Rhinolophus ferrumequinum: one gene and its partners. The protein of the gene in region 3 interacts with the protein of the main gene of each other region in a pairwise test. Links are inferred from orthologs where the notes say so. Each region holds a gene or a part of one and is shown on either strand. Other genes may lie near its edges. The genes, in order: GRAP, USP15, TRIM21 and TXN2.

What was found.
Region 1: the proteins of TRIM21 (region 3) and GRAP interact in binary tests that used the Homo sapiens proteins (3 or more experiments, as listed by UniProt). The two-hybrid records come from large-scale screens. The link is inferred for Rhinolophus ferrumequinum from reciprocal best matches to the Homo sapiens genes TRIM21 and GRAP.
Region 2: the proteins of TRIM21 (region 3) and USP15 interact in binary tests that used the Homo sapiens proteins (3 or more experiments, as listed by UniProt). The link is inferred for Rhinolophus ferrumequinum from reciprocal best matches to the Homo sapiens genes TRIM21 and USP15.
Region 4: the proteins of TRIM21 (region 3) and TXN2 interact in binary tests that used the Homo sapiens proteins (3 or more experiments, as listed by UniProt). The two-hybrid records come from large-scale screens. The link is inferred for Rhinolophus ferrumequinum from reciprocal best matches to the Homo sapiens genes TRIM21 and TXN2.

The regions. Positions count from the first base shown.
Region 1 is NC_046304.1:306,231-313,803, forward strand, and holds the start of GRAP (GRB2-related adapter protein), read left to right. Parts: upstream 1-4,573; 5' UTR 4,574-4,681; coding exon 4,682-4,759; intron 4,760-7,573. UniProt on the Homo sapiens protein: Couples signals from receptor and cytoplasmic tyrosine kinases to the Ras signaling pathway. Plays a role in the inner ear and in hearing.
Region 2 is NC_046293.1:60,021,598-60,028,937, forward strand, and holds the start of USP15 (ubiquitin carboxyl-terminal hydrolase 15), read left to right. Parts: upstream 1-4,318; 5' UTR 4,319-4,388; coding exon 4,389-4,477; intron 4,478-7,340. UniProt on the Homo sapiens protein: Hydrolase that removes conjugated ubiquitin from target proteins and regulates various pathways such as the TGF-beta receptor signaling, NF-kappa-B and RNF41/NRDP1-PRKN pathways.
Region 3 is NC_046294.1:47,069,237-47,076,235, reverse strand, and holds the start of TRIM21 (E3 ubiquitin-protein ligase TRIM21), read right to left. Parts: upstream 3,011-6,999; 5' UTR 2,888-3,010; intron 2,782-2,887; 5' UTR 2,636-2,781; exon of another isoform or gene 2,571-2,635; intron 1,914-2,570; 5' UTR 1,877-1,913; coding exon 1,469-1,876; intron 989-1,468; coding exon 893-988; intron 1-892. UniProt on the Homo sapiens protein: E3 ubiquitin-protein ligase whose activity is dependent on E2 enzymes, UBE2D1, UBE2D2, UBE2E1 and UBE2E2.
Region 4 is NC_046293.1:10,210,770-10,217,862, forward strand, and holds the start of TXN2 (thioredoxin, mitochondrial), read left to right. Parts: upstream 1-4,075; 5' UTR 4,076-4,230; intron 4,231-4,236; exon of another isoform or gene 4,237-4,371; intron 4,372-4,997; 5' UTR 4,998-5,022; coding exon 5,023-5,285; intron 5,286-7,093.

The DNA of each region.
Region 1 (7,573 bases), on a different chromosome or scaffold from region 3:
GCCTGAGGGTCAATCCCACCTACTGACATGCCAAAAACAATCAAAGTTGAACTATAACAGGAGGGCACACACAACCCACACAAGGGACACTCTTGGAGCACTTGGAGCAGGTGATCAGGGAGACTGTGCTAGGGCCTCACAAGGCACCTACTACATAAGGCCACCTGGTCAAGACTGGGAGACATAGCAGATCTATCTAATACATAGAAAAAAACACAGAGAGGCAGCCAAAATGAGGAAACAAAGAAATATGTCTCAAATGAAAGAACAGGACAAAACTCCAGAAAACGAATTAAATGAAATAGAGACAAGAAACCTACCAGATACCAAATTCAAAACAATGGCTATAAGGATGGTCAAGGAACTTAGGGAGAACTTTCTTTTTTAAATTTTTTATTAAAAATATAGCTAACATACAATACTATATTAGCTTCAGGGATAGACCACAGTTTTTCAACATTTATATACCTAAAGAAGTGATCACCATGGTAAGTTCAGCAACCACCTGACACCGTACCATGCTATTACAATATTAGTGACTGTATTCCCCATACTGGATTTCACATGCTCATGGCTATTTTGTGACTATCAATTTGTACTTCCTTATCTCTTCACCTTTCTCCCCCATCCACCAACCCCTGCTCATCTAGCTACCATCAGTTTGTTCTCTGTATCTATGTGCCTGTTTGTGATTTGTTTGCTCATTTATTCTGTTCTTTAGATTCTCTCTCCACTTTCTTATTGAACTTCCTTGCCCCAGGATGAAAACTTAGGGAGGTCCCTAAGATTTTCAGTCAATCTGGGTGGTAAAAAATACCCCCCTACCAGCCTCTTCGGAGTGTTCAAAGGTCCAGTTTCGTCTAACAATTACAGAACTCCAACCTTCATTGAAATTACAGTCCCCGATGCCCTCCCCTCCACCTCAGCTCTGGCCCTGGAATGGGAAGTCATGGTCAATTTCTTCTCTGTCTCCATTTCCTAGTCTCAAGCTGCCATTTCTGAGAGTCACCCCCTTGGGCTCAGCCCAAAGGAGAGGGGGTGTTTTTGTTTTCTGTGGCTGCTGTAACAAGTCACCACAAGTGTAAGTGGTTTTAACAACAAAAATGATTATCTATTTTTGAAGTTCTGAAGTCCACAGCCACTCTCACTGGGCCAAAGTTGGGGCATCGCAGGGCTGGCCGTTCGGGAGCCTCCAGGGGAGGCCCATCGTGCCTCTCTCAGCTTCTACAACTGTGCTCCTTGCATCCCTTGGCTCGTGGCCCCTTCCTTCATCTTCAAAGCCAGCAGTGTAGCATTGTGCTTCAGTCACATCACCTGCTTCTTCTGTGTCCAAGCTTCCTCTTGTGAGGACACTTGAGATGACATTTAGGGCCCCCTGGATAATCCAGGATCATCTCCCCATCTCAAGACCCTGACCTTGTCGTCGTAGGTGAAGAACAAACGTTCCTCTACCCTCGTGGTTCTTTGGGCTGGTCTAGAGATTATCAAGAGGAAAAAAACCAAATTGCATACACACCTATGTATGGGAACCCCGCATACATGAGGGTCAGTGACAGGAGAGGTTCACAGACAGGAAGGGGGATGTAGGTATGTAAGACATTCTGAGCCTGGGATGAGGCAATGCACCTTGGGGGCTTCAAAGGGTCATTGCAGGATGATAATAAGGGCAGGTGTTTAGTAAATAAAAGTTTTCTCTGCCATACAGGTGGGTCAAAAAGATATTCTCTGATAATCTTTTACTAGGGGCAAGACCCCTAATAAAAGTTCTTCTAGGTAGTTAAAGGGAAGGGCAGAAGTTTCTCTTGAACCCAAAGCTAAAATTGCCTTTAGTTCAAAATAATCTGCATACCACTGAGGCACATCTTGGGGTGGTTTGTTCTGAACCCCCACACCATCTAAGGGGATGTTCACAGGTTCCAGGGATTAGGACTCGGATGTCTTTGGCCCGTTCATCAGCCTGCACAGGGGGTTAGGGACTAAGGACATGGCTGGTTCGCTGTGGCCAGTGACCAGTGGCCAATGCTGAGTTTTTCCTCCTGTGGCAGCTTTGGAGGGACCGCCCATGGTGAGCCCAGCTGCAGCTGTGTTATGGGGCTAGGTGCTCCCCCAGATGCCAACTCTGAGGCGCCCTCCTTCTAGGCCCCGGCACCCACGCTCAGTTTGGGTGCCTGAACCTCTCAGTCAAGTCCTATTGTGTGGTCCTGGAACTGGGCCCATTGGCCCGCCCATGAGGATGTGCTGCTCACTCCCGCACGGCTCTCTTGACTCACTGTCACTGTGTGACAGACAGCGCAGGCTCCAGGCGGGGGCCGCGTGGCACGGGGCTGTGTCACGGGCCTGGGCTCACGTCGGCCTGGATGTGAACCCCAGCCCTGCCACTCACCAGCTGTACGATCTTTTTATGCATGACTTGCACAGAATAAGTACTTTGAAAAACATAGAATGAAAAAATAAAATAAAAAACATAGAATAAAACACCCACCTGGTTCACAAGCCCCAGAGGACACATGCTCAGCTTCATAAAGGGAGCCCCTGCTTGCTCGCCTCCAGGTGCCTCAGATTTAGGGTGGAGTGCGTCTCAACCCCCCGATAGCACCATTCTGAGGCTTTGAAACCTCAGCTGAAACTGAGCCGGAAAGAGAAGCCATATTACATCCTGTCACCCTGGGGTCTGGGGCAGGCAGAAGACAGGAAGGGGCTGGGAGCTGAGACCACGTGAGGCTCTCAGATGGGCCCAGCCAGGCTTGGGAGGCTATTACCTCGCCACCGGGGGGCTCCAGGCGACGAGTTTCTGCCATCTTCCTCTTCTTTCCTTGCAACTGAAAAACAAAACAAAACAACAATAACAACCTAAACCTTTTATTTTGAGATAACTGCAGATTCACATATATCTTCTCAACTTTTTATAGAGAAAATTTTCAGATCTTCAGAAAATCTGTAGGAACGGTGCACAGACATCCATCCACCCTCACCTAGGTCCACTACTTCATGTCTGACTGAGTTCATGGTTTTCAGTCTATTATCCATAACTGTATACACACTCATAGAAATAAGTATAGAAATATGGGCACACTCTGTCTTTTAGGAAATATAGTTCTTCCAAAAACTCATTATATACATATGTATACATACTTGTAGTTTGTATATATAATGAGTTTGTGTGTGTGTGTGTGTGTGTATATGTATGAGTTTATATATAGCACATATATAATGAGTTTATATGAAAAAATGAGTATGTTTATATAAATGAGTATATATATATATCCATATATATATTTTTTCTTTAGCTCTGTCTGCAGGGAGGGTCTACACGCAATGACAGCACCGCAGTAATAAGCATACCTACCTCCAGCTCAGTCCTCATTTCTAAACACCATCCTCCTCCAAACATCTTCCATCTCGTTGGAGAGATGGATGATTTCAGGGCTGGGGCAAAAACAGTCCCGAGCGAGCCTGAAACACGTTGTCGGAAAGTTAGGACGTGCTCAGGGAACGATGGGACTTGTCAAAAGGACCGGGAGGCAGCTTGCAGGGGGCTCCGCAAGCCAAGTCGGGGACAATTTAAGCATCAAAAATAAATCGTGATAGTAATGGATTATTATCCATTGACTAAAATATAAAAGTATAATATAACCATACTGATATAAATGAAAGAGGAAAAATTGTATTTTACATAAAAAATTAATCTTGCTTCACACTGGCCCATCTAATTCCCTTCCCATCTAACACCACAGGCTTCTTCCTCACTTTCCACTTCCAGTTGTGTGTCTCCTTTCTTCCCTGGGGAGAACAACATCACCGTATTTATCCGTGTATGCTCTTTGCCACAATACTCACATAATCAGAATTGCTATCCCAGTACCACTATCCATAACAAACCTACTGAGGAAGGCTCAAGATTTATTTGCAGTTCTTTTTGACTGTAGGGTCTCCATCCCACTGAAGATGCCCTGTGTCTAAACCAGAAGAAACACCTTCTGAGCTGGGCTTTGATGGATGAATAGGAGTCTCTGGTAGGAGAAAGAGGGCGAGGACAACAGGCAGAGGGACATGCGTGGGCAAAAACCTGGGAGATGAAATGAACGTGTGCTGTGTCCCCAGCTGGGGCTGAGCCCGAGGTTTGTTTACAAGGAAGGGGAGTAACAAAGGATGAGCCGAGTCTGGAGAAGGGTGTGGTGATGCGTGGAGGCAGTGGCTTGGGAGGGCCTTGAATGCCAGGAAAAGAGATTGGGGTTGATGTTGTGGACATCGGGAGTCAGGGGAGGTATCAAAGTCTAGAAAATATGATGGACAGATTGGCACAGCGGTGGGGGTCGCGGGGACCACAAGATACGATGCTTGAGCTGGCAGGACGGCTTTGCAGCATTCTCCTCAGGAGACCTCAGTTTTATCATCTGTAACATGGGGACAAGGAGGGAGACCCATTCCCAGGGCTGCCTGGATACTCCCCAAGGGCTAATCTGGCCTCTGGGGTCTGAGGTGGGGCCAGGCCTGCTCCCACACCCTCCGTGCGCTGCGACAGATCTTTGCTTCCTGTTTCCCCTGTCAGGGGCAGTTTCAGTCTCAGCTTCAAAAGAACAAACAAGCTCTCAAAACAAAGGAAGACGGTCCTCCACTGCAGAGGAAGCAGGAAGCTGCCAGCCCTGCTCTGAGCCCAGTGCTGGGGCTCCAGGACAGCGGGATGGAGTCTGTGGCCCTGTACAGCTTCCAGGCCACGGAGAGCGACGAGCTGGCTTTCAACAAGGGGGACACACTCAAGGTAGGGTGGACAGGGCGGGCTGAGTGGGCCCCACTTGGGGTGGGGGCTTTAAGAACCAGGGGCCCAGGAGAGCCCCCCCAAACAGAGTCCAGTCTCTGGAGGACAGGCCCAGCTTCTCCAGTCATCAGCTGTGTGATTCAGGACAAGCCACTTCGCCATTCTGAGCCTCAGTTTCCCCATCTAGGAAACAGGGAGATAATTAGTGATCCGTTTTGGGGGGCCATTGTGAGGATTCAAGGAAACATTAGCACAGTGCCTGGCAGGAGCTGGTTCAGCACCCAGTTTTCCAAAGAATTTGAGAAGACAGTTGTTGAGATGAGAGAGACAGAGAAAGAGAGAGTAGGGAGAGGGAGAGAGAGAGAGGAGAAGGAGGAAAGGAGGAAGTTCTTAGAAAAGAAATAAGTACGCACACTAACCTATTAAGATAAAAATAGCTGTGATTTAAGTGTCAGGAATGAGCTTCCCAGCACCATGGAGAAAAAAGAAAATAGAGTCCTGCCACAGCTCATTTCTCCTTGTCTGGGGCCCTTTTAATGAACATTGCAGCCTTCCAGGGGCGTTCCAGACAGATGGATCCCTGAGATCTCTCTCTGGAAATGTCCTTGCTTACAAGTTTGCATACGAAAGCAGAGCTCAGGGGCTGGATTCAAGAGTGGCCATGGCAAGCCTTAGGCGCGGTAACTGCCACTAACTCATGCTGAGAAAGTCCCTCTGTCCCTGGGCCTCAGTCCCTGCACTATAGCTGCAGGCATTAGCACGGATGTCGCTCCACGCTGAGCCCTGGGCCCTGTGCTTGGCCCGAAGTTTCAAGCACAAGAAGGGATAAGAACTCCCATTAGCTGGCATCCTGCACTATCCAGTCCCAAGCTCAGCAATGATGTATCTGTGTCCCATTTAAGCTGTTGAGGTGGGGAAGATTGGCATCCCCATTTCAGAGGTGACTAAACTGAGGCACAGGAAAACGCCATGACTTGCTTGGTATGGGGTCAAATTTGGACCTATGTCCTTTGACTCTGAAAACTGTGTTCTGTCCTCTGTGAGGCCAAATGGGCTGGGCTGGGGGTTTGGGGAGGCTGATGTCCCCCAAGAGGAACCGTGTCCCCTTGAGAAACCACTTTCTCTATGCCAGATGCTGGTACCTGTGTGCACCGGAGCTGCTGGTTGGGGGCCCCATGAACATGTGGCCAGCTGGGGATGGGGCGGGCTTAGCACCGAGACTGTCCAGGCAGGGCATGCCACCGAGAGCCAGTCAGAGGCCTCACTTACTGTCTGAGAGCAGCTTCGGGTCTCTGAAGCCGGACCTGAGGCTTGGGAGGGAGCGGAGCAGTGAGGGAATAGGAACGGGGAGGGCTCAGAGTGGACGGAGTGGATCAGCGAGGGCTCTCCAAGGCAATTTCAAAGACGTCACATCGCCACTTCCCTCCTGGGCTCCTGCGCCCACCATCCCCACCCCTAGATTAGTCAGGTTTTCCACTAACCTTTGCTGTAGTGTCAGCCAACTCCAGGTGTGTTGAGGAAGGAGTGAGCTCATGAGGGCAGGGATCTCGCTGGAGCCCCAAGACATGAAACAGTGCCTGGCATATAGGAGGCTTTCAATAAGACAGAGAGAAGGAAGGAAGGAGGGAAGGAAGAAGTGAGGGAGGGAGGGAGGGAGAAAGGGGAGCGGGAAGAAGGGGAGAGGGAGGGAGGGAAGGATGAAGGGATGAAGGGAGGAAGAAAGGAAAGAATTAAAATGTTAGCTGAAACTAGGGTATCCTCCCAGTGGGACTTGTACCTCATGTCCGTGGAGACCGAGGAGGGGACCTTTAAAGCTCAAAACATGAGGGGCTGGAATGAAGGCAGAGGGAGGGGCTGCCTTTTCCTTCGTTCAACACTTGTTGAGCTATTTTTTCTAGTTTTATTGAGATATAATTGACATATGAGATTGTATTGGTTTAAGGTATGCAACATAATGATTTGATACATGTCTGTATCACAAAATGATCGCCACTGTTAGTGTATTTAACCTGCATCACCGCACATAGTTACATTTATTCCCTTTTGATGATAACTTTCAAGATCTACTCTCTCAGCAACCTTCAAATGCACAATATAGAATGATGAACTGTAGTCACCATGCTGTACACTACATCCCTAGAGCTTACTTATCTTATAACTGGCAGTCGGTGCCTTTTGACTGCCTTCACCCAGTTCCCCCACCCCCTGCCTCTGGTGACCACCAGTCTGTTCTCTGTTGAGCTATGGAGCACCTATTCTGTACCAGGCATTGTTTTAAGTGCTGAGGATGCAGCAAAGAACAAAGCAAAGTTCTTGCACTTCTGGAGCTGACGATCCAGAGGGCAAGTGACATCAGGAGGTGCGAGGTGGATTGAAGAAATCAACATAGGGAGATGGAGTACAGTGACCAGCAGGCGGTCAGGGCAGTCTCTCAAAAGAGGTGACCCCTGAGCTGAGGACGGGAGGATAAACAGGAAACTACCACGCAAAGAGCCAAGAGTACCCGGCTGGGGAAATAGCTGGTGCAAAGGCCCTGAGGCAGGGTCATATTAATATGCTTGAAGACTTGAGAGAAAGGTCTGCTTGAAGAGCAGTGAGTGAGAAGGGTGAGGTAAGGATGAGGCTGGTAGGTAGGCAGCAGTGAAGGATTTTGATTTCATTCTAAATGTGACGTGCACTCACTGAAGGATTTTCATCAGGGAAATGGCTTGGTCAGATTTATGTTTTAAAAAGATAACACAGGGGACAGGAATGGAAGCAGGGAGGGGCTGTTGAAATCTACTGGGTAAGAAATGAAGGTGGCTTAAACTAAGAAAA
Region 2 (7,340 bases), on a different chromosome or scaffold from region 3:
TTTGTTATAATTCTAGACCTATAAGACTATTTTATTATTTATTGATTCAATTCAGTTTAGCTCTATCTATCATCATTCCGTGAGTATCTAGTAGATGGTAGACTGACATCAACCTTCAGGGTAGTGCTGCTTTCATAGCATTTTGTGTGTGCTTACAAAAAAGGGAAGAGACTGGGATCAATCAATTTACAGGCTTCATGCTCATGTTAAAATCAAACTTTCCAGGTCCTTTAGGGTAAAAACTATAATTTTGTTTGTTCTAATTTTTTAATTTGAATAGCTTTAGTTGGGGCAGACAGTTTGTCAGAGTTGCCACAATTCCTTACTATTTTACAACAGGTGGGCTTCATCCATTCACACTAACTCTATCTAACCCTCGCAGGCATTTGAGTTGCAGCCCTGGAAGAGTCTAATCACCTTACTTTATAATGAGAAAACTAATGCTCACAGAGATTAAATAACTTGGCCTAAGTCACCCAGCTAGTTATTGGCACTGAGCCAGAGTCCAAATCCAAGTATACTCTCCCTTTGTACAAGACACTGTATTCATTTCACTACTTTTTCTTCGTCTTTATCAGGCTCTAACATTTGTCTGAAATAAGGAGCCTCTATATTATTTGTTTGTTTTTAAAAACTGCATCCTGACACTGACAATTTTTATTCATGTCTCATGTTTCAAAATATCATTAGCAGATTAAGCACTTTACTACATGCTGTTTGGGTGTTTACACTATTCCCCCACCTCTCCACTGCCTTTTAGCTGTTCAGAGAGCTAGTAAAGAAAGAACAGTTACAAAATTACTAAAAAGAGAGAAAGGTTTAGAGCAGTGAATAAAATTGGGGGTGAGGAGGGAATAACTGTAGAGGAAACACAAAGTGGAAAGAAAAAGTGAAACTGGTTTCTGAAAACCAAAGATAGGAAGTGTTAAGAAATAGACAGCTACCGTGTTTCCCTGAAAATAAGACCTAGCCGCACCAATAGCTGCAATGCGTCTTTTGGAGCAAAAATTAATATAAGACCCGGTCTTATTTTACTATAAGACCCGGTCTTATATAATAATATAATGTAATATAATATAATAAATATAATATAATATAATACAATACAATACCGGGTCTTATATTAATTTTCGCTCCAAAAGACGCATTAGAGCTGATTGTCCGGCTACGTCTTATTTTCGGGGAAACACGGTAGGTCATCAATCATTGTTCTTTCAGAGGATGTGCTGATTCTGGCAGTTTTTTCCTTAGGCTCATGTAACCAGCCAGCACCAACCAAAATTGTGAAGGAGGTAAAACTCGTCTTAGAATTCTCTTTTGTACTTTCTACCACTCAGCTTTATTTAAAAAAAATTATTTTTATTTATTTATTTATTTTATTTATTAAAAAAAATTATTTCTTTCTCTGGTCCATCCCTGGCTGAAAACCAGACCTACTTTGAACCTTAGTTTTAAGCTTACTCTTTCCAACAGTGTTTACATTTGAACTCCTATCTCTTGATTGTTGAATACAAGAACCTTTCTGAAGAAGTATTGGTGAGCAGAGAGGAGAATTATTTGGAAGATCCTTTCTAGACTAACTTCAAAACCTACTCTACTTTATGTAAGGTGCACTTTGTTCATACCAAACCTACTTTCTGAAGTACTCAGCATGCTCCTTTTCCCTTGTCAAAGCTGTAAGTTAAGTTGTTAACGGTCAAGAAAGATACAGAGAACCTGAGAAGTTAATGACAATTACCAAGCAAATACTATGTTCTTATAAAGTTAACCAAGGCAAGCGTCAATGAAGAATATGCATTCCAAATAAGCAGATGTAATCCTTGGCTTATACTCAATTTTCTGTGTGACTTGAGGGAAAGTAACATTTCTCATCATCTACTTAGTTTTTCAATGCAGATGTGGACCCTAACCAATCTAGTATTTATGAACATCTTATTTTTCTTCATAATCGAGGGTAGAGCAGCATAAGTCAAATAAGCAGAATTTCCAAAAATTAGTAGACTGAGGTCACTAGAAAGTTGATTGCTATAATTAAGACCATAAAGTTTAGCAGAAAAATAAAAGCCTATCCAAACTTCTAGACTCTGGCTGCTGGACTGCTTGGTTTCAAATTTGGTTTCTGCCACCTGCCTCAACTCTTCACCTACAGAATGGAAATAATAATACCTCATAGTGTTGCTATGAGGCTCAAGTTACTACCTTAAAGTGTTTAAAACTAGGCTTGGTACTCTGTAGGTGTTTGTTAAATAAAATACTGTAACTATTATTTCTTTCCTAACCCTGAAAGCAAATACTTAGGTCTACAAAATGACCTCATAAATCTGATCTATAATTCAAATTGACATTGAACTTACACATCTATATCCAATTAACTCATTGCTTGGAATATGATACAAATGAAGAAAAGTTTATTTTACTTTGTTGCATGGATACAGGCGTCAACATTTCAAAAATGCATTTTTTTAAAAAGAAACTGGACAACAGAGTGTATGAGGCACCACTTCTCAATTATGTTATGTTTGTAAAATGATATAGAGGATGGTTTTGCCTTCAAAGTTTATAATGATTGTTTTCAACAGCTTTATTGAGATATAATTTATATACTATACAATTCATCCTATCATCAGTAAACAACAGTAGTATTTATTGGTTGGTTATTATGTCCCAGGCAATAAACACATATTGTTTCACTTAATCTTCATAAAAATCCTTTAAGGTAAGTATTACTACCCCTAACTTTAAAAATGAAATAAAAGGTAAGTATGTTGTAGCTAGAGGTTCAGGTGAGGTTTGAACTCATGTTCCTATGACTCCAGTATTCTTCCCAAATCATGTTGTCTCTCTTTGGAAAATTACTTTGCTCTCTTTCAGAGGTTGTCTGGGAAAGGGGGAAATGTGACCTTTGACGGCACTCATGGTTAGAAAAATTCTAGTTTTTGAACCTGTCAAAAGATAAGAAATAGCAAATGGAAGCTGTTTTTAGACTCTGAAATTAAGGATGACAAGATAATACAAAATGGTATTATAATGAAGAAAATAAGCAATCATGATGCTAACATACAAAAATCATAATGCCAATACTTTAATTTGGAAGGGTTCAGTACTTCTTACTAGCATAATTACACCCACTTTTACTGCATTCCCACCAAATGAGCTAATATAGACATTAAAAATGGGGAAACGAGACATCATGCAGGAATTCTTATCCATCTTTTAGACTTTTCACATGATTTATGTTACAGTAAAATGTCTGTACATCTTATGCTTGGAAATACGCGGTTTTGCCACCATTAACTTATTAAACAATTATTTAGATGGTTATATATTAGGCAGCACCGTGCTAGCCACCAGGTATACAGAGATAAAAAAAAAATGGCTCCAGTGTAGCCCAGTTTAAATTATAGTTCAGGCTCTCATAAGAAGTAGTGAGCGTGCTATAGTTGATACTAAACAGCACGCGGGCTTTGGAACTTGGGTTATATACTTGCGTCTCTTCTTTGTGACCTTGGCATTTGACTTTTGAGAGATTCAGTTTCCTCATTTGTTAACAATTGGCTTCAAATCAAAGTTGGTATTATTACCTAGTTCCAGGTGTACACACCATAGGAAGATGTGGCTAATAAAATGCTACTTTATGACATCCAGGAGAGTGGGTTTCTTGCACGTTTTCTTTTCCTTTAGTACCTGGCATTACTCGACACACATTTTACACCGGGTTCCAGGAACTGGAAGTTGTTTTTCACTGCAGCTTAGCAACCTGGGTGTGCCTGGGGAGGCGTCTCAAAAAGCTTATAAAAGCTCTCCACCTACGGCAGGAGTAGGAGCGCAGGAAGGAGCCCAGGAAGGGCATTGCAGCGAAACGTTCGGTTTCGGATTGTTCTTTGTTTGAGCCAAACCGAGCCTGGGTTCTGTGACTCGCAACGAAATGACTAGTCACGGGGCTGTTAAAATTTCTGCCATATCTTGGTCGTCCCCACGTCCCCCACCCCGCCCACCCTAACCGACCCTTCCCTCAAGCGTGAATGAATGCGCAAATAGGGGTTTTCAGGCGTCTGTGGGAAAGAGGGAGGAGAGGGCTGAAGTCAAGGATGGACGGGGCGGTGGCACCGCTCAAGCCAGAGAGGACCGAAGCCCCACCGAGGACAGTTGAAACCAGGCGGTCCCGGGGCGGGAGGCCAAGGCGAGATGCTGGACGAGCGAGGGCCGATGGGGGGCAGCAGACCACGGCATTGCACTCAGTCCGCCCTCAGGGCGAAGGAGCTCCCCCCCTTTACATCTCTTTTGGTTTCGACCTGCTGACTGGGAGGGGCCCCGGGACGCCATTCCCACAATGCTCCGGGGCGTGCCGCCGCCGTCGCTGCCGCCTCCGCTGCCGCTAGTGGAAGAAGATGGCGGAAGGCGGAGCGGCGGATCTGGACATCCAGCGGTCTGACATCGCGTCGCTGCTCAAAACCTCGCTGCGGAAAGGGGACACCTGGTGAGGGAAAGGGGTTGAGGTGGCCGCGATTGCTCGAGGATGGTGGGGAACTGGGCAGGAACTGCGGACTGGTGTCTTTCGCTAGTGACAGGTGCGGGCAGGTCCGGCGGCGGCCGCCCTGGGCAGCAGGATTTTGGCCACTCCGGAAATGTTGGGGCGAAGATTGGACCCGAGATGAGGGTCAGGGTTCGTGGCTTATCGAGACAGGCCGAGAGGCTTACGGTGAGCGGCAGTGGCGGCTCGTGTAGTTCTATTCGTCCTCCTTCCTTCCGTAGTGCCGCTCCCACCTAAGGCCTTTCCCGAAGGATAGGTTACAGTGGCTCAGCGTGAATTTCTTGATGTTTGACAGGTCCTGGTCCCGCGGCTTATCACTATCTCACCCGCTTTACTTATGCAGTCATTTCCTTTCCCGGCATTGTCGGCATCCAAGTTCCCTATTATTCTGATTCTTGTATTCTTCCGGGAGGCAGGCTGCAGGGTGTTTGCGGTTCGGTTCGTACTACACAGGTGGCATGTGTCAGGGAGCCACTTAAGAGAAGGAAACCTTAGTTTCCAGTTCCTTGTCAAAAGGAGGGAGAGGAAGGAGTAGGAAACCTTAGGCTTATGAGATACCACGTGGTCTTGTGCTGTAGTAGAGGCTTGGTAGAAACCGGCAGCGTTTCTTAGAAGTGCAGCCCTTCCCTCCTGGTTGAAGGATAACATAGGCCTGCAAAAAGTAGATAAGTCCACTTGAGGCTTAAGTCACTTGTTAATATACAAACTTATAAAATATCAAAGGGTATACTTAAAATACTGGAGGAAGTATGTAGAGATTTTAATACTTGTCGGCCATATCAAGTGGCATCCAGAATAACTTCAATATATGAATGTGTAACAAAAGGTGCTCTGTTTATTAGGAAGGATAATGTGCCTCTTTATTATAATAAAAAATATTTCCACTTCTCATGATCACCATAACAGTGGTATATATATTACAGAGTGTTTTTTCATGTGCTCCAACGTGGGTTAGTAGAAAGAGCATAAGATTTAGACCTGAAAGACTCACTGTTCCACCATTTAACTTGCAGTATGACTTTGAGGAAAGTTCATTTCAATCATTGCACCTCAGTATCTTCATCTATGAAATGGACGATAATAATTTCTTTATAGGGGTTTTAACTTGATACAATGAAATAGTTAAAAGATTTTCTGTTTATGAGATAACATTAAATTTTAGTTGCATTTTTATCGCCATCAATGCTGATAAAATGGTGTGATGGTTAGGATCATTTTCAAGTAAGCTAATAGCAGACTTGGGACTTGAATTTAAGTATTTTATCTAAGTCTTGATACTTTTTTCCTACTTGTTACATAGCTACATACTATGTTTATATGCTGATCTCAAGGGCATAAACGTGTATTTGTTGCATTAGAGCAAAAATATTATTTAATAAATGTTATTGTTCATATTGGAGTGTTCTTGAGATGTTTATTACTGTGGGGAAATTGGACATTTCCTAGGACACACGTTCACCTTGGCCTATGGATTGTTAAAGATGAAATGAATCCTTGCTATTGTTTGTTGAAGAACACTTAACAATTCTTAATTCACCTAGCCTATTACCACCTTATAAAGAGATAAATGTGGATTTTCATAAAACAGAAATCTATTTTAAGTTAAAATATGGATATCATTTACATAGATATTCTCTTTAATATCGTTATGTTTTTGGTATAATCAGTATTAATGGTATTGTTGACTCTACATGATGATAGGAGCAGTATGTTTATTGTAGGCACTAAACTTTTTAAAGTTTGGTACAGTATTTTTCAAATGAAAGTATTTTTGCTTTTTGACAAGGTTACTACAAATCGTTTTAAAGAGTAAATAAAGGAAGTTCATAAATTTGAACATTTTGATGTTTTTATTTTAAAGAGAAGGAAACCGAAGCGCAGATATTTAGGTAACAGTAGAATTTATTCTCACATTGGTTTCTTTGCTTATTTTAAGGGGGAAAAATACAGGAGCAAGATAGTACTGAGGAGTTGCAGAGACCAGTTTGGTTTAATATGTGAGCTAGTTTACTTGCAATTAGCAGGTGAAACCTGTCAAAAACGGAAGTAATGTAAAGCAGAAGTTTGTGTTTTTGTTTTGTTTTAGCAAAAGTTTGATTCAGTTTTAGGGACAATAATTTGATAAGTACAAATTTGATAATGTATTCCTAAGTACAGAACTGGTAAAGATACTTAATCATTTGTTGTTTGGGCTTATGTTTTTGGAACTCATTAAAAATTAGTTTTTAACTCATTAAAAAGTTGTTTCTCTTTTTAATTTTCTTTTACTATTTGGATTAATCATTTATGGGTATTTGGCAAACCCTGTCTTATAGCTAAAATGGGCCATATGCAAAAGGAACATTTTCTTGGTATATGTATATAACCGTCTTGGAAAGACTGGACTATTGAGAAAAAATAGTAGGTTTACCATAAATTTATTCTTGAAAGTTTAATACTGATGTTTGATGTTATAGTCACATGTATTAAGATGAATAAATTTCATTAACTAGGTTGTGAGCACTTTGTGGATAGGATTGTCTTGTATTCTGGTAACTAACTCTTAACACCTGGACAAGGATAAAGATTTGATTCTGCGTGGATACTAGAGTTTCTGTTTATTTGTAAATAGTGAATGATTTTTACCTGCAAACTGACTTTCTAGAGATGAAAATAAGTTACACAAGTCTGAGATGAGGAGACACAAACTTTATGATATGCTTGTACTAGACTTTATAATCGCAAAAAAGTCAAAATTGATGCAAGAGAGTTATACCTCTTAAAAAGGTGAGGTATGAAAGTAACACTGATCTACACTAGGAGGAGGAAA
Region 3 (6,999 bases):
TGGTGGGGGAGGGTGCATTGTAGCTGCCCTACAACCACTGCTGCATTGGCCCATGTTACCAGAGACTTTCAACCTCTTTCAAAACCCAGTCAGCACCCACGTATGTCCTTTTGTCTTCCTATCTTGGAGAATTACTAAGACAGTAACACCTGTCCCCATCCCAACAAGCTCACAAAGATAACACCATTCTTAAGTCCTGGGGAAAGAACGTCTTTGTGATATTCTTTGCTTGCCCTTTTGTGTTAGTGATTGAAGAGTCACCGGATAACACAGGATGACCCTTTTTGCCACCACAGGCTGGTACACTTCCCCGGTCCCAAATCTTCCTCTTCTGGGTTCTACTGGTCATGAGTTCCTTCCACTCCTCTGGCCCTGACCCACCCCACCTCCAAATCACCAGTGCAGGACAAGCTTTAGTTCTCCGTTCTGTTTGAACCAGTGATCTGGACATGGTTAAGCAATCACCTGGTCAGACTGGTTTTCCTACCTCAGGCCTTGGTGGTTCCCTTACGTCTGTTCATCACAGCCCTTGTCATTTCCTAACAGGCCTAGCCACTGGTCATCTCTCCTGGAATACCTGTCCCAGACACCGTGGTGTGGTCATCCCCTAAGACTGGGCTCAAGGAAGAGGAGATTTAGGGTATGGCTTGTCCCTCAGTACCTTCTCCTAAGACTTGATCTTTGTGTCTGATTGGGAGTTCTCTTTGAGCTTCATACTCTTTATGCCCCTCTATCAGGAGACCTAGAGGACTGTTGGTTTTTGAAGAGTGAGATACACACACTCTATCACTCCTCAGACAGGCACAGCTATGGTCAGGGCTTTCTTGAGGCCAGGACCCTGGACCCTGCCTAGGCTTCTGATCTAAGATTCCCTTTGGGATATGACTCTTGCCTTCCAGTCTGTTCTCTTTGTAGCAATATCCACTTCCAACTTCTCAACCGACTCTTGTTCTTGTCTCAGTTTCCCTAATGCCACCTGGAGCTTCTCCTGCACAGAAAGATAGCAGGTTAATGTCCGACCAGATCAAGAAGTAGGGTGGGGTAGCATGAGGTGGGGGAAGGTTTACTGGTTCTTAGAAAAGCTTGTGTGTAGAGAAGGGAGGACTAGTCTGATTGGGGTAGGAATTTTGTGGAAAGGAAAACTTTGGAAAAAGCCTCATGTTTCTTACAAAACAGAGCCACATTGTTGGGGTGGCAGGGGTGAGGGCACTACTTATTCCTAACTAACCAGGAAGCCACAGGGAATCATGATCCTTGCATCATTTTACCATAGCGTCGCCCCTGCTCCTGGGGAATGAGAAGGCTGTGCTGACCCTTAATTTAGACATAAAAAGTGGGGGACACCCATTCTTTCTCTAATCTCTTTACTCTATGGGTGACTCTCTCCCATCCCAGCTCTGGGGAACAAAGCACTCATCAGGGCCCCCTCTCCTTTCTACCTGTTCATGCCTCTGTGCCAAGGCCTCACCTGGTATTCCTGAGCAGCCTCCTCAATCGGGACCATGGGATGGTCACGGTGTTTCCGGGACTGGGAACACACCCAGCAAAGGGTGGTCCCATCTTTCTCGCAGAATAGGTGAAGTTTCTCTCCATGTACTCTACATTGCTTCTTCTGTGTGCCCTCCTTGGCATTCTGGCTGATTTGTCTTAGGTTGTCTACCAGGTTGGCTAGCTGGCGATTTGGCCGGAAGTTCCTGAGCAGGAATTTGTTCCGGCACACAGGACAGACACTGCCTCCACCTTTCCCAACCTGAGAGATACATTCGTTGCAGAAGCTGTGGCCACATTCAATGCTCACAGGCTCCACCATAGGATCCAGGCAGACAGGGCATGTGACTTCCTCCCACATCATTGCCAAGGGCATTGCTGAGGCCATGAGGGGAAATGTTTCTATGAAGTGGCACTATGGAGATCTTGCAGTGACATAATGGGGAGAGGAGAAAAGGAAGGAAGACGACGAGAAAGGTTGTGTGAGAAAAGCGAAAAAAATTAAAAGGCAAACATGAGGGAGAGTGACCGGTAGGGGTTAAAACACAAGAACATTAAGCTGAATGACAAGAGCTTCTCCCCCCCAGTCTGCTCCATTGATCCAGTCACACAGAAGGGGGAAGTGAATCCCCAAAAGACAGTGAAGTTGTTGGGAACTTCAGCAATAAAGCTGTTCACAATTCTACTTTTATCACATTTATCTCTGCTTAAACCCTCAGTGCCCAGGCTTTTCCCATCCATCTTCTCCCATCTCAGGCCATCAGTTCCTTATATATAGTAACATGAATATATACAGAAGAATATATTTATTCTTGTAAGTATATACGTATATCTGTAGGTGCACCTATATATGCATATATGTATACGTATCTGTATATGTATATATGTGTATATGTTTATACAGACACGAATGTGTGGTTAGCACTCAGCACTCCAGGCCCTTCTCTCGGCTACTCCACCCTAGCAGCTTCATTTCCTCCAGGGCATAGATCTATAAACTTCTAACATCCTAAACAACTCTGTCCCTCTCTCCTCCAGAAAGAGACTTTTGGAGATGGGAGTCTCAAGGATTGCAGACCTACCCTGCACCGGGCCCTCCTGGCCCACCCTGCCTCCTAGGTTTCTGGCCTGGTGCTCCCAGCTTCACCTGGCCGCTCGTCCCAGCTCTAGTGCCAGCAACAGGGCAGCCCGAGCTCCTTCCAGGTGACTTGGTCCCGTTCACAGCCCAGCCTCCTCCCAGGGCAGCCGAGTCAGCGCGGGAAAAACTGCTGGGTTAGGGCTGAGTGAGCCCTGCTGCGGAGAAGGTAAAACTGAGAGTGAAGGTTCTAGGGGTGGGCACTGGTTGGAAGGGGCTTCTCAGGGAGGACTGGGGTACCTTGGTCTAGCCAAGTTCACTCACCTTTTCAGGGACTCAGCAGATGGCAGCCGGCTTTTTATTTCACTTTCGATTCCTCTAAAAGGGAAGTCTGAACGGGAGGTAGGCACACGCCCGAGAGTAGGAGGAGCAAGAGGAGGAGAGTACACTGAAGGGGTGGGGAGGGCAGGAGAGGGAAGAGGAAGTGGGAGGAGAGAAGGAGGAGTGGAGGGTCTCAGTATCCGAAGCTGCTGACACCTCTGTCTAGTGCTTCTTGGAGGTTGGGACTGAGTGGAAGCTCCGCAGCGTTTAGTTCTTACTTCGTGCTCCCTCCCATGTCCTCATTGTCTAATACAGTAAAATATCGTATCCACTAGATGGAAGCGTCATCACCCCATGCCAACATGCTATGCCTACGTTTGGGAGCTCTTAGGGAGGTTTGGATGGAGAGGAGAGTGCCTGGAGCTCTCCCTCACATGCCACCATCTGCTGCCTGCTTTCAGAAACAATTCCTTTTCAGGCGATTCAATATTTTAACTTAAGGGTGTAAAAGATTTATTGTGCTTGACCCCAAGGCAGATATCACACCAGTGAGTGGTAAGAAGGGAATTGACAGTTAGTTGTTGAACACCAACTGGGTTCTTGTCACTGAGCTAGGGAGTTTCTCAGGTTACTATTATTTTTATTTTAAAAATTGTAAAATACACCGGACATAAAACTTACCATCTTAATCATTTTTAGGTGTATAGTTTGGAGGCATTACATACATTCACATTGTTGTGTAATTATCACTACTATCCATCCATAGAACTTTTTTTCATCATGCCAAGCTGAAATTGTACCCGTTAAACAATGATTCCCCACTCAGCCTCTGGCAACCACCATTCTATTTTCTGCCTCTATGAATTTGACTATTTTAGGTACCTCATATAAGCGAAATCACACAGTATTTGTCCTTTTGTGTGACTTACTTCACTTAGGGTAATGTGCATGTTGAAGCATGTGACAGGATTTCCTTGCTTTTTAAGGTTGAATAATTTCCATTGTATGTTTATCCATTCATCTGTTGATGGACATTTGAGTGACAACTTCCACCTTTCGACTATTGTGAATAGTGCTGCTATGTCAGGTTATATTATTTAAGCTGCACAACATTTTAGTGATTTAGGGGTTGTTAAACTCATATTACAAAAGAGGACACTGAGCCTGAACGGAGTGTAGTGACTTGTTTGAAGTGACATAGTAAGCATACTTGTATGATAACTAAAGGGCCAGGGAAGATCCTCATTTTAGTGACAGCTGGGACATAACAGGCTGCCCTGTCAGTTCAAGCAGAGGCTTTAGGAACAGCTGGAAGGGATGTTGTTATAGTTGTAGAGGAGGAAGGAGCAAAGAGGAAGGCTAGAAGAATCCTCAATTCCTTTCAACTCTGACATTCTTTTTCTTTTTTGTTCTTTTATAACTTAAGGTAAAAACATCAGTTGAACTTTGCTTGGTATTTTCTATAGATTTAGGAAATGTAAAAACATTTCATGCTTTTTTGAAATTTCTAGTTCTGTTTTTAAGATAATTTACTTAATGCAAGCAATGTGAAAACAGAATGAAAAAAAAAATCCAAGGAAGAAGAGACCTGTACGTGAACTTGCACTCAGAAAAGGACTGGGCTTAACACCACTGCAGCCCCTTTGTTGTTTCCTGCAGGCACAGAGTTAAGCAAGCTACTGTCGGTGGAGGTAGAAAAGAGCAGAGGTCTCACTATAGGACAGGATTCAGTACCAACCCTGCTGTTTACTAGGTATGTACGACCTCTCTGAGCTTCAATTTATTAATTAAATTAGGATATCAATATTTATCCTAATATTTATCCTAATATCTATCAATATTTATCCAGGGTTGCTTTGGTATTGTTCAATAATATGCACACAGATATTTTAACATGCATAACCGCAACAGTCCCCATCTTGGCAATTGGCTATATGAATAATGTTGCCACTCATTTCAAGTCCCCTCACTCACTGCCAGTACTTTAACACTTCAGTGTTCTTTCCTGGTGAGGTGACCCATACCTTCATTCTTGAAAGATCAGTGTTCTCAATGTTCCTGTTTTTAACACATTGGCCATTGCTGTTGGACAATGATATCTAGGAATCTCTCTAATGTGTATTTTCGGTTTTAGGCATAGTCTTTCTTGCCCCTATCACATACCAGCAACCCCAGTTCTCCTTGGTCATAGAGGTAACTCATTCCAGCCAGTATAGAAACCCCATCCTCTTCCTATTTCTTCAGTGGCTTAAGAATCCCCAAAGAGCCAGGAGTAGTTGCAAATTCCCATTTCTTAGAACTAGATTTGCTTACTCTGGTGGAAGGGTTTCTCCTTGTTTTTACAAGACCCTCCAAACAGGGCTGAGCCATATGTTGAGGGATGGAAAGAAAACTTTCCGTAAATGAATTACTAGTTTGATGGTAACAGAGGCCACTTCCACTTTTCCTCTTGATTCTGTGACGAGTGTATGTATACAGGATATGAAAAAAAAGTCACCATATATTAGTTGCTGACTTTAAGCATGTACCAGAATTTATGAGACCACCTAATAATCTCGCAGGGTGGGGTTTCCAAACTGGTGCCATCCCTGAGCCTTTAGTGAGGCATCCCATAGCTTTATTGGTCCACCTTTTCCTGGCTGACGGTGTACATTGTAAGATCAGTGCATTCCACAGGGCAATCCCATTATCAGAATTCTTTGATTGTAAAATCAGATCCTTGGTTGCAGGTGATATTGTCGGGATAGCCTGATGGTGTAAGTTTAAAAATGGTGGTGCTGGCAGAACCAATTTAGAGGGTTTAGGGGGCCAAATGAATTGGTCTCTGGAATATTACCCAACTTGTGAGGACAAATTGCTCTTCGTTCAATGTAACTAACTGTCTTGATTCTCTTAGAAATAGGGAAGAATCTGGCTCAGAGTTGGCCTTTTATGTCCAAGTGCCTACAGCAGCAGGGATAGAGGCTCTGCCTGAGTATGCATTTGCTCTCACTAAGGTTTATCTGTTTACCACTATGGATAAGGATTCTTGTACATAAACCCATTGACCAAGCAACAGGTGACTGGGGCAGAGGCTCAGCAACATCGACGGGGTGAATCATCTTATTTATCTGGTTAGAGGTACCTTCTCTGCATTGTATGTTCTCTAGTGGGTATTCACACGGAACAAAAGCATTTTCACACTCTGGATACTTTCCTGGAAGTTCCATGTGTCCTTCTACCCATAACTCTGTTACCAGCCTTTCAATCTTGTTTTCTTATTTTTCAGCTCCTGACCTGCAGGCCAACCTGTTAGACACGGTGAAGGTGGTATATAAGTAACGTACACCAATTCATCTTTTCTCTCAAGCAAAGTATAGAACCACTTGCTTCAAATACGGTCCACTGGGAAGATTTTCCTTTATCCTTGTCTTACAGGGTGAAATGTATTGGACGCCAATCTTGGCACCATCTCAGATTCCCTCTCATCCTCTTACTCAGCACCCTATCAGTGCTGGGACACCACTCCATACTCATACTGTCACATTTGGATGAAACATCACACTGCAGGGTGTGCGATCCAGATTTCTGAACAGCCATTATAGGCAAATGACATAAGCAAAAAGTACAGGGAGTTAGTTTTCCATGACGTGAACATTGACCGATGAGAAATGGGAGATAGGAGTGGGACAAATAAAATCCCCTCCTTTCTCTCCTCTGGACAATTTCAAGGCGAAGTTCCTCACTGCAGTTCTTCTCGTGAGCAAGCCCACTGGCTGATGGCTGTGTCCTTTTGAAACTCATGAATCATTATCCAGTGTGATAATGCATTTCATTGTTCTACATTTTTTCTTGCCTCACTTCCCTTCCCCCAACTCTGAGTGCCCTCTCTCTCTCTCTCTCTCTCTCTCTCTCTCTCTCTCTCTCTCTCTCTCTCTCTCTCTCTCTCTCTCTCTCTCTCTTTCTCCTCTCCTTGCCTGGTGAATAAAGATCACTAATTTAATCCTACTCCAATTTCATCTGGATGACCTGGTTAATCTTCCTCCAATATTTGCAATGCCTAAACCCAGGTAGAAACCAGATCACCGGAGCCTGGGAAACCCAGCAGTCAGGGATTAACCTCTGACAACAAAGAG
Region 4 (7,093 bases), on a different chromosome or scaffold from region 3:
GTGCCAGTGTCAGGTCTTTATTTTCAGAAAGGGCTGAGGGGGTTTTGTGTAATTGCTGGAAACTCAACAGAACGTGAATCACAACAGAACCTGAAACCTCCTTCTAGAATTTGCAAAACCTAAGTCCTAGTTCCAATTGTTCTCCAACAGCGATAAAAACAAATTACCATCAAGATGGAAACTGAAAACAGATACTTCTACCAGCAACACCTCCTGGAGAGGAACTCATTATCAGCTTAGACTGTGGCCCATTGCCTCTGTCTGCATTGTTTCCTTTCTTTCTTTTTGTTTTTAAGGTGCCTCCCTCCAGCCATGAAATCCTCGGACACACGGGCACAGAGAAGCACCTTTCCCGCAGCCCTGAGCCCCGCGATCGGCCCTGCAGGCCTGAGGGAGCCGGGCCTGCCATGGAGGAGGCTGGAAGACCCACAGTGCCACCACGTGGGTGCCTCTGCTCATGGCCACTGCTGAGCAGCAGTGCCTGCCACCAACTGCAATTCCCTATGTCGCTCTCCGATGGCCTCGATTGGCTGGCTGGTCCCTGGGACTTAGCCGGGAAGAGGCAGCAGTCTAGTCCAATCAGATCCTCATTAGGGGCAGCAGAGCACCTTTAAGCTTCCACCTCCGACTATCTGGGTGACCCTGGACAAGGTATCGATCCTGCATGCCTCGGTTTCCCCATGTGTAAGTTGGAGGCTGTAACAGTACCAACCTCATAGGGTTGTAGGATTAAATGAGTTAATACATGTAGGGTGCTTAGAACAGTGTCAGGTGCTTGGAACTCTTCAGTCTCTCAGTAGCTTTCAAACCCTTTGACCACGATCCACAGTTAAGAAATACATTCTACATCACAACCTAGGACATACAGATACGTAACATGAACAAAATAATACTTATAAGATGCACCATACGCCGATATTTTCAATTCTGTTTGTCTTTTTAAAGCTGATCATAACCCACTAAACTGATTTCATAAACCCACTGACGGCTCATGGCTCACGTCTCACAGTCTGAAAAACACTGCAATAAATATCAGTAAGAGATAGCAACAGAAGCTTTACCCTTAGCTCAGGCTGCCAGTCCTGGCTTCCTTCCTTCCGCCTCCCACCTGTGCTCTGAACCTGCCTTATGACTTGGCAGACGAGCCACCCTTAGCTCAAGAGCCCCTTTGTAGCCAGAGGGTGCTGCCTTCTCCATGTGTCTCCCAGACTCTCTGCAGGAAGGAAGGAGCTTCATTCATCACTCACCAGGCACTGACAATGGGCCAGGCCCTGTCCTCCCTCCTTCCCACAGCCTCACAGTCCTATGAGGAAGGCATCTTCCCATTTCTCAGATGAGAAGCCTAAGGCTGACAGAGGTAAAGTGCCTATGGAACAAGAATAAATCGGACTGGTTCTCCTTTGGATTCAGAATGTGAATTAAGCAAGGAAACTGGCCTTCCAGAAAATGCTATGGAAATGCTGAATAGGGTTGATCGATGGCTCTGAAAGTGCTGGAGACACAGAAAAACAGAAATGAAAATGGACAGGGTGGAAGTGCCCTGCCAGATGGCATCTGACATTAGGAGGAACAGCTGCACCAAGGGATGTTGGCCTCAGTAGAGCCAGGAGTACTGAGGGGCATCACCACTGTTGGCTCCTTTCCTACATGGGGACAGAGGCAAAAGCAAGAGGTCAGACTGGGTGGAGAAGGCCATACCTGCCCACACCCTCACCTAGTCTCCTGCTGCTGATGGACAGTGACTATAAAGTGTAAGGCTGACATGGCTGCTGGTGGCCCAGGGAGGTGGGCCAATCGCAAGTATTTCCTCCCTGCAACCCAGAAGGTCCCTGAACTGCTGTGGCTGTGGACCCGCCCACCAGGGCAGTGAGGGAGTGAACCTGCCATTCGGACACATCATAGCACGATGCAGTCAAGATGAACTGGAAAAAAAAAAAAACATGGCCATTGTTTTGGAGGCAAAATGAGGCTATGCAATGTGGTGGGGAAAATGAAATTTAGGGTGGAAAGATTTGATGTGGGTCCCTGCTCTCTGTTCATGGAAAAATCACCGAGTACCTTCTATGATGCGCCAAGCCCTGAGGTAAGCAATGGAGAGACAGACAGACCCCCAGAAGCCACTGACAGATGCACAGGGGCTGTGGAAGCTCAGAGGAAGGCACCTACTCCCATTCAAGGAGGCTCAGGGAAGGGGCTCCAGAGATGAGGCCTAATCTGCATTTATCTGGTAGCATTTTCTCAGGCAGAGGGAAAAATCTTCCAGTCATAGAGTAGCAACTACAAAGTACAGGGATGGGAGAAACACACAAACTCTGGAACTGTGATTCCCACTGGCTGGAGTGTAGACTGACATGGAGGTGTGAGATGGACTGCCAAGTTACCTCCTTCATGACCTTGGACAAGTCACGTAACCTCTGACTGTAAGCCACTCCCTAAGAGATCCAAAGACGGTCAGCTTACTGAGCATCTATTGAACGTCCTCTGTGATCGGGCACTGGACCATGTTGGTACTGGACATAGTCATCTAAAAGCTACGCATCCCTACTTTCAGAAAGCATATGCTCTAGGAAAGCGACACTGTGATGTGTTCTGTAAGAGTGATGAACGAAGCACTAGAGAGAAGGAAGCAACTGATGCTGCTCAAAGGTGATGAGTCGTGTACCAAATCTACCAAACGGAGAGAGAAAAAAAGCATTTCATGTGAAGCAAAGGCAGGCAGGAAGAAAAAGACTGATGTCGTCATAGAACCGTGAGAGGCCAGGAGTGGTTGTCATGTAAGGTACAGGGTGCAGGGGAGACAAGAGGTAGCTGTGACACGTCGGGGACACACAGGTGCGTAGATCCCTGTGTCCACTGACAGTGATGATGGGTGTTGTGGGGAAGGAACAAACTTTCTTCTACCTCAAGGCTCTTTCGGTCTAATAAAATAGATGAGGGTTTTTTCAACTGGTCTAATAACCAAATAGACAAGAGACAGATTAGCGAGAGAAAAGAACCAAATTGAATACGTAAATATGTATGGGAACCCCACAGACACACACATGCACAAGAGGTTCAGAGACAGAAAGGGAACCCATGTGGGTATATCAGGCATCCTGAGCTAGGGATGAAATAAGATGTGCTGGTGGCTTACAGAGTCACTGCAAAACGATTAGGAGCAGATGTTTCGTAAATAGACGTTTGCCCAACAGGCGGGTCAAAAAGAGATTATTGCTGATAATCTCTTATTATGGGCAAAGCCCCCTAATTCAAGCTCTGTAGGGAGTTAGTTAATGGGAGGGGCAGAAGTTTCTCTTGAGCCTGAAGCTAAAACTGCCCTTAGCTCAATATAATCCACATACCACAGACGTACATCTTGGGGCGACTAGCTCTAAACCCTCAGTGTGCAACTAAGGCCCAGGCCCAAGCCGGTTCACAGGTCACCACACTTGACCTAGCTTCAAAGGCAGACCCTCCAAGTATCACCACCGTCTGGCGCCTTGCGGGTAACCAGTTCCCCCAGCAACTCCAAAGAGGTCAATGACAAGCCCAGCCCTTCATGTCACATACTGGGACACTGAAGTCCCCTGGGGCTGGCTGACTTGCTCCAAAGCCCGAGGTCATACAGTTGTGAGTTACAGACAAGGGCCAAAAAGCGGCCTCTTGACTCCCAGTCAGGGTCTTTCCATTAATCCGCACTACACCTTTTAGGAGCTTAGCTTCCTCATGGGTAAAATGAAAGAACCTTCCAGCACCTAGAAGTTTTTGGAAGACAATGAATGAGGCACAGGGGTAGGCAGCGCTGGTTGAAGTTAAAGCAGCCTGACTTTGCAAACTCCAGAACTACACCTCTCTTACCCGCCATCCCCATCCTATTTCTTCCTCTCGTACCTCCCTCCAGTTCCTGCTTCCTTTCACCTCCTCTTCCGGACCCTCGTATATGGCCCGCCCACTTCTTCCGGTCCCTCCCCCGACAGCAACCGCCTTTTCCGGTCCCTCCCCAAAATCCCGCCCCCCATTTTCCGGTCTCTCCCTACTAGAGTCCCTCTCTTCCGATCCCTAACTGAGGTTCCGCCCCTTTAAGTGTTCCTTCCTCCGCCATCCCCATTGGCGGAAAATCCCAGCTGCCCCTCCAGGTTGCCTGCCCGGAAGTGACGATCAAAGGCCCTCCTCTAAGGAAGTGACGGCAGGAGTGCCCTTGACAGGCGGGGTGGGCCGGGCTGTGCGTCTCTCCGTTCGTGCTGCGGGGAGGTAGGAGGCCCGGGGACGCGGGTGGCTCGAGGTGGTGCCCCGGCTGAAGCACGCTGCGGGCGCGTTCCTATGGCGTCCGATGGCTGAGTGGGCGGAGGCCCCGGGCCGGAGGACCTGCCCTCCGGAGAGCCGGGGTCCCTGGTGACGTCCGCTTTCCCCCGTTCCCTCCACACGCGCGTTCCTTTTTTAGTTCTCCCCCAGACTCCTGTTTCTGTGCCTTTTAGTTCCTCCTGGAATTGTTGTGGTTCCTCTTTCCTGATCCTTTGACAAGCCCCCTTTTTCCTTAATTTCCCATTAAAACACTTTTTAAAAAAGTAATCGACAGAGTAAGGATTTTGCAGACAGCCTTGGGTTCCAGTGTTGACTCTCATTTTACAGTTGGGCTACTTTGGGAGTGTCACAGCTTAACTGAGCCTCGGATTCCTTATCTGTAATACGGGCAATACTCTAGAAACTTTCTTAGAGTTGATCTGGGAGGACTATAATGTATGTAAGGCATTTAGCCTTTAGCAGGTGCTCCGTAAATAAGGGTTTCTCCCTTCCCTTCTGTTATAATCCCATCAATATCTGATTTCGTTTTTATTGTCAACCCAGTTTTGTCCTCGTTTGCAATTCCTTCCCTTTAATTCTAGTTATTTGCTCACCTCTACTGCAAAAATGTTATATATTATTTCTTGGTATTTTGCTTCCAGCCCTGCATCTTGAGCCCCAGTACTCCCAGATACCTGTCTTTTTCTGGTGTTTTGACTTCCTGTTGTCTTCAACAGCTCTTCCTGCCTCTTCCCCTGACGTATGGCTCAGCGACTTCTCCTGAGGAGGTTCCTGGCCTCTGTCATCTCCAGGAAGCCGCCTCAAGGTTGGCGGGAACCCCTCACCTCCAGGGCCCTGCAGACCCCACGATGCAGTCCTGGTAACCTGACAATAACACCCAGCCAAGCACGTTCAATATTCAGCACCAGAGTCTGTTCAACAACCTTTAACATCCAGGATGGACCTGACTTTCAAGACCGAGTTGTCAACAGTGACACACCAGTGGTTGTGGATTTCCATGCACAGTGAGTCCTGGGAGTCAAGAGAAGACTGGGGTGTCACTTGTTCGGATATTTTTGAGTGCCTGCTATGTCTCAAGGACCATGGTTGGTGCTTCTCATACATACTCACTACAAACACTGGGAGACCCAATCCCTGCTCCCTAAAATTGAGTGCAGTCTGATAGGAAACGGACTAGTAAACAGTCTTCAAAGTTCCCTGTGGTTAGTGCTGGGAATCGCTTGTGTGGTGTATCTCACTGCCTGAATGGTCCAGAATCATCTTCAGCTTGGACCAAAGCACGAAAAATATGACTACAGCAGCATTTGGCTTTAGCATATGTCAGTTTCTGGCCCTGCCGAGAACGCTGATTTTATTTTAACATCTTAACCACCAAAACTGGGAAGGGATGGCAAAAAGAGACCAGTGCCACTGCAGTGGTGCCCGAGGTGTGGGGGATGGGCGGGGGAAAAGATGAGTTTCTTTTCAGTGCTGTGAGAGTTTGTTTTCGGGATATTGAAATGCCTACGGCCTACTGGTTTTTTTAGCCTGGCCTTCATTTCCAGGCCCTTGGGGCCTGGTTAGGCTATTAGAAAACTGGACAAGCCCCCTCCGAATGAGATATTCTGGAAGGAGCCCGTGGAGCATCAGTTACAGGTTGGGAGGCTTGTGGGGCAAATTTCTGACAGATTCTTTCTGTTCTTTCTTTCCTGTTCTTTCTCTGACTCACCATGTCGCCTTGGGAAGGCCATTTGATGTCCTTGTCCCTCCCTTTCTTCACTTGTGATAGGAGATAAGGTCTCGCAGCCTGGGTTTTTTTGGTGTTGTAAGTTCATGAATTGAAATCTGAATGGAAAGGGTTTTGAAGGCTAAGAATAAAATAGGAGTCATCAGCCAGGACTCCATGTTCTGCCCTCCTGGTACAGTGAGCACTCCAGGGTTTCCAAAATGAACGATAAGTGGGGTGAGATGCTTCATTTTCTTCTCCAACAAGGAAGCAAGGTGTGAGTTTGTTTATTCAGTGCCAGGCACTGTCCTGGGTGCCACATACCTAGGGATGAGAGCCTGTTCTCAAAGAATCAACACCTAGAGGGGAACACCTGTGTTTAGTGCAGCACTAGCCATTGACACAGGGCCGGGGCTAAAAGAAGACACTTAGAACGCAACCTTGGGTTCTAGTCGCAGCTGTGCTTCTTACTAGCTCTGTAACCTTGCACAAGTTTCTTAACTTGTATGGGCCTCGGTTTCTTAGATGTTTTCTTGTCCTTCTCATGGTTGAGGGTTCTATGAAGTGAAAGCTGAGAAGGTCCTGGCGTATTAGACACTCCCTAACCCCTGGTTTCTCCTCCTTTTAGTTCCGAGTCAATGAGGTGTGTGAAGTAATTATTCAGCTGACAAAGCATATTTATCCACATGATCTTACTTAGTGGATTTCTCATTACAGCTTTGAGAGGTATAGTCTCTCTTTTTCAAATGGGGAAACGGGCCCTAGAACGGTCAGCTGGTGCGTCAGGAGCCTCTCTTTGCATCCAAACCTTTTTGCTTCAAATCCCATGTTCGTCTGCATGACAGTGTGTTTCTTTTAGACGTACCGAAATAAGTGAAAGAACCTTTATCAGAGTCTTGAGATCAGGCCTGTGTCTTAGAAGTTAGGGACCTGTGAGACTTCTCCAGTTGCAGAGTCTGCTGACGTTACCGTTTGGGATGTCAACATCACAGGTTAATATTCAAACACTGTAAACAGAGGTAATAAGGACAAAAGTCCTTCAGTAAGATATGTGTCAAGAGAAGGTTCTGGGGGCCCGTACGTCGGTTGGTGAGCACGTTTGTGATG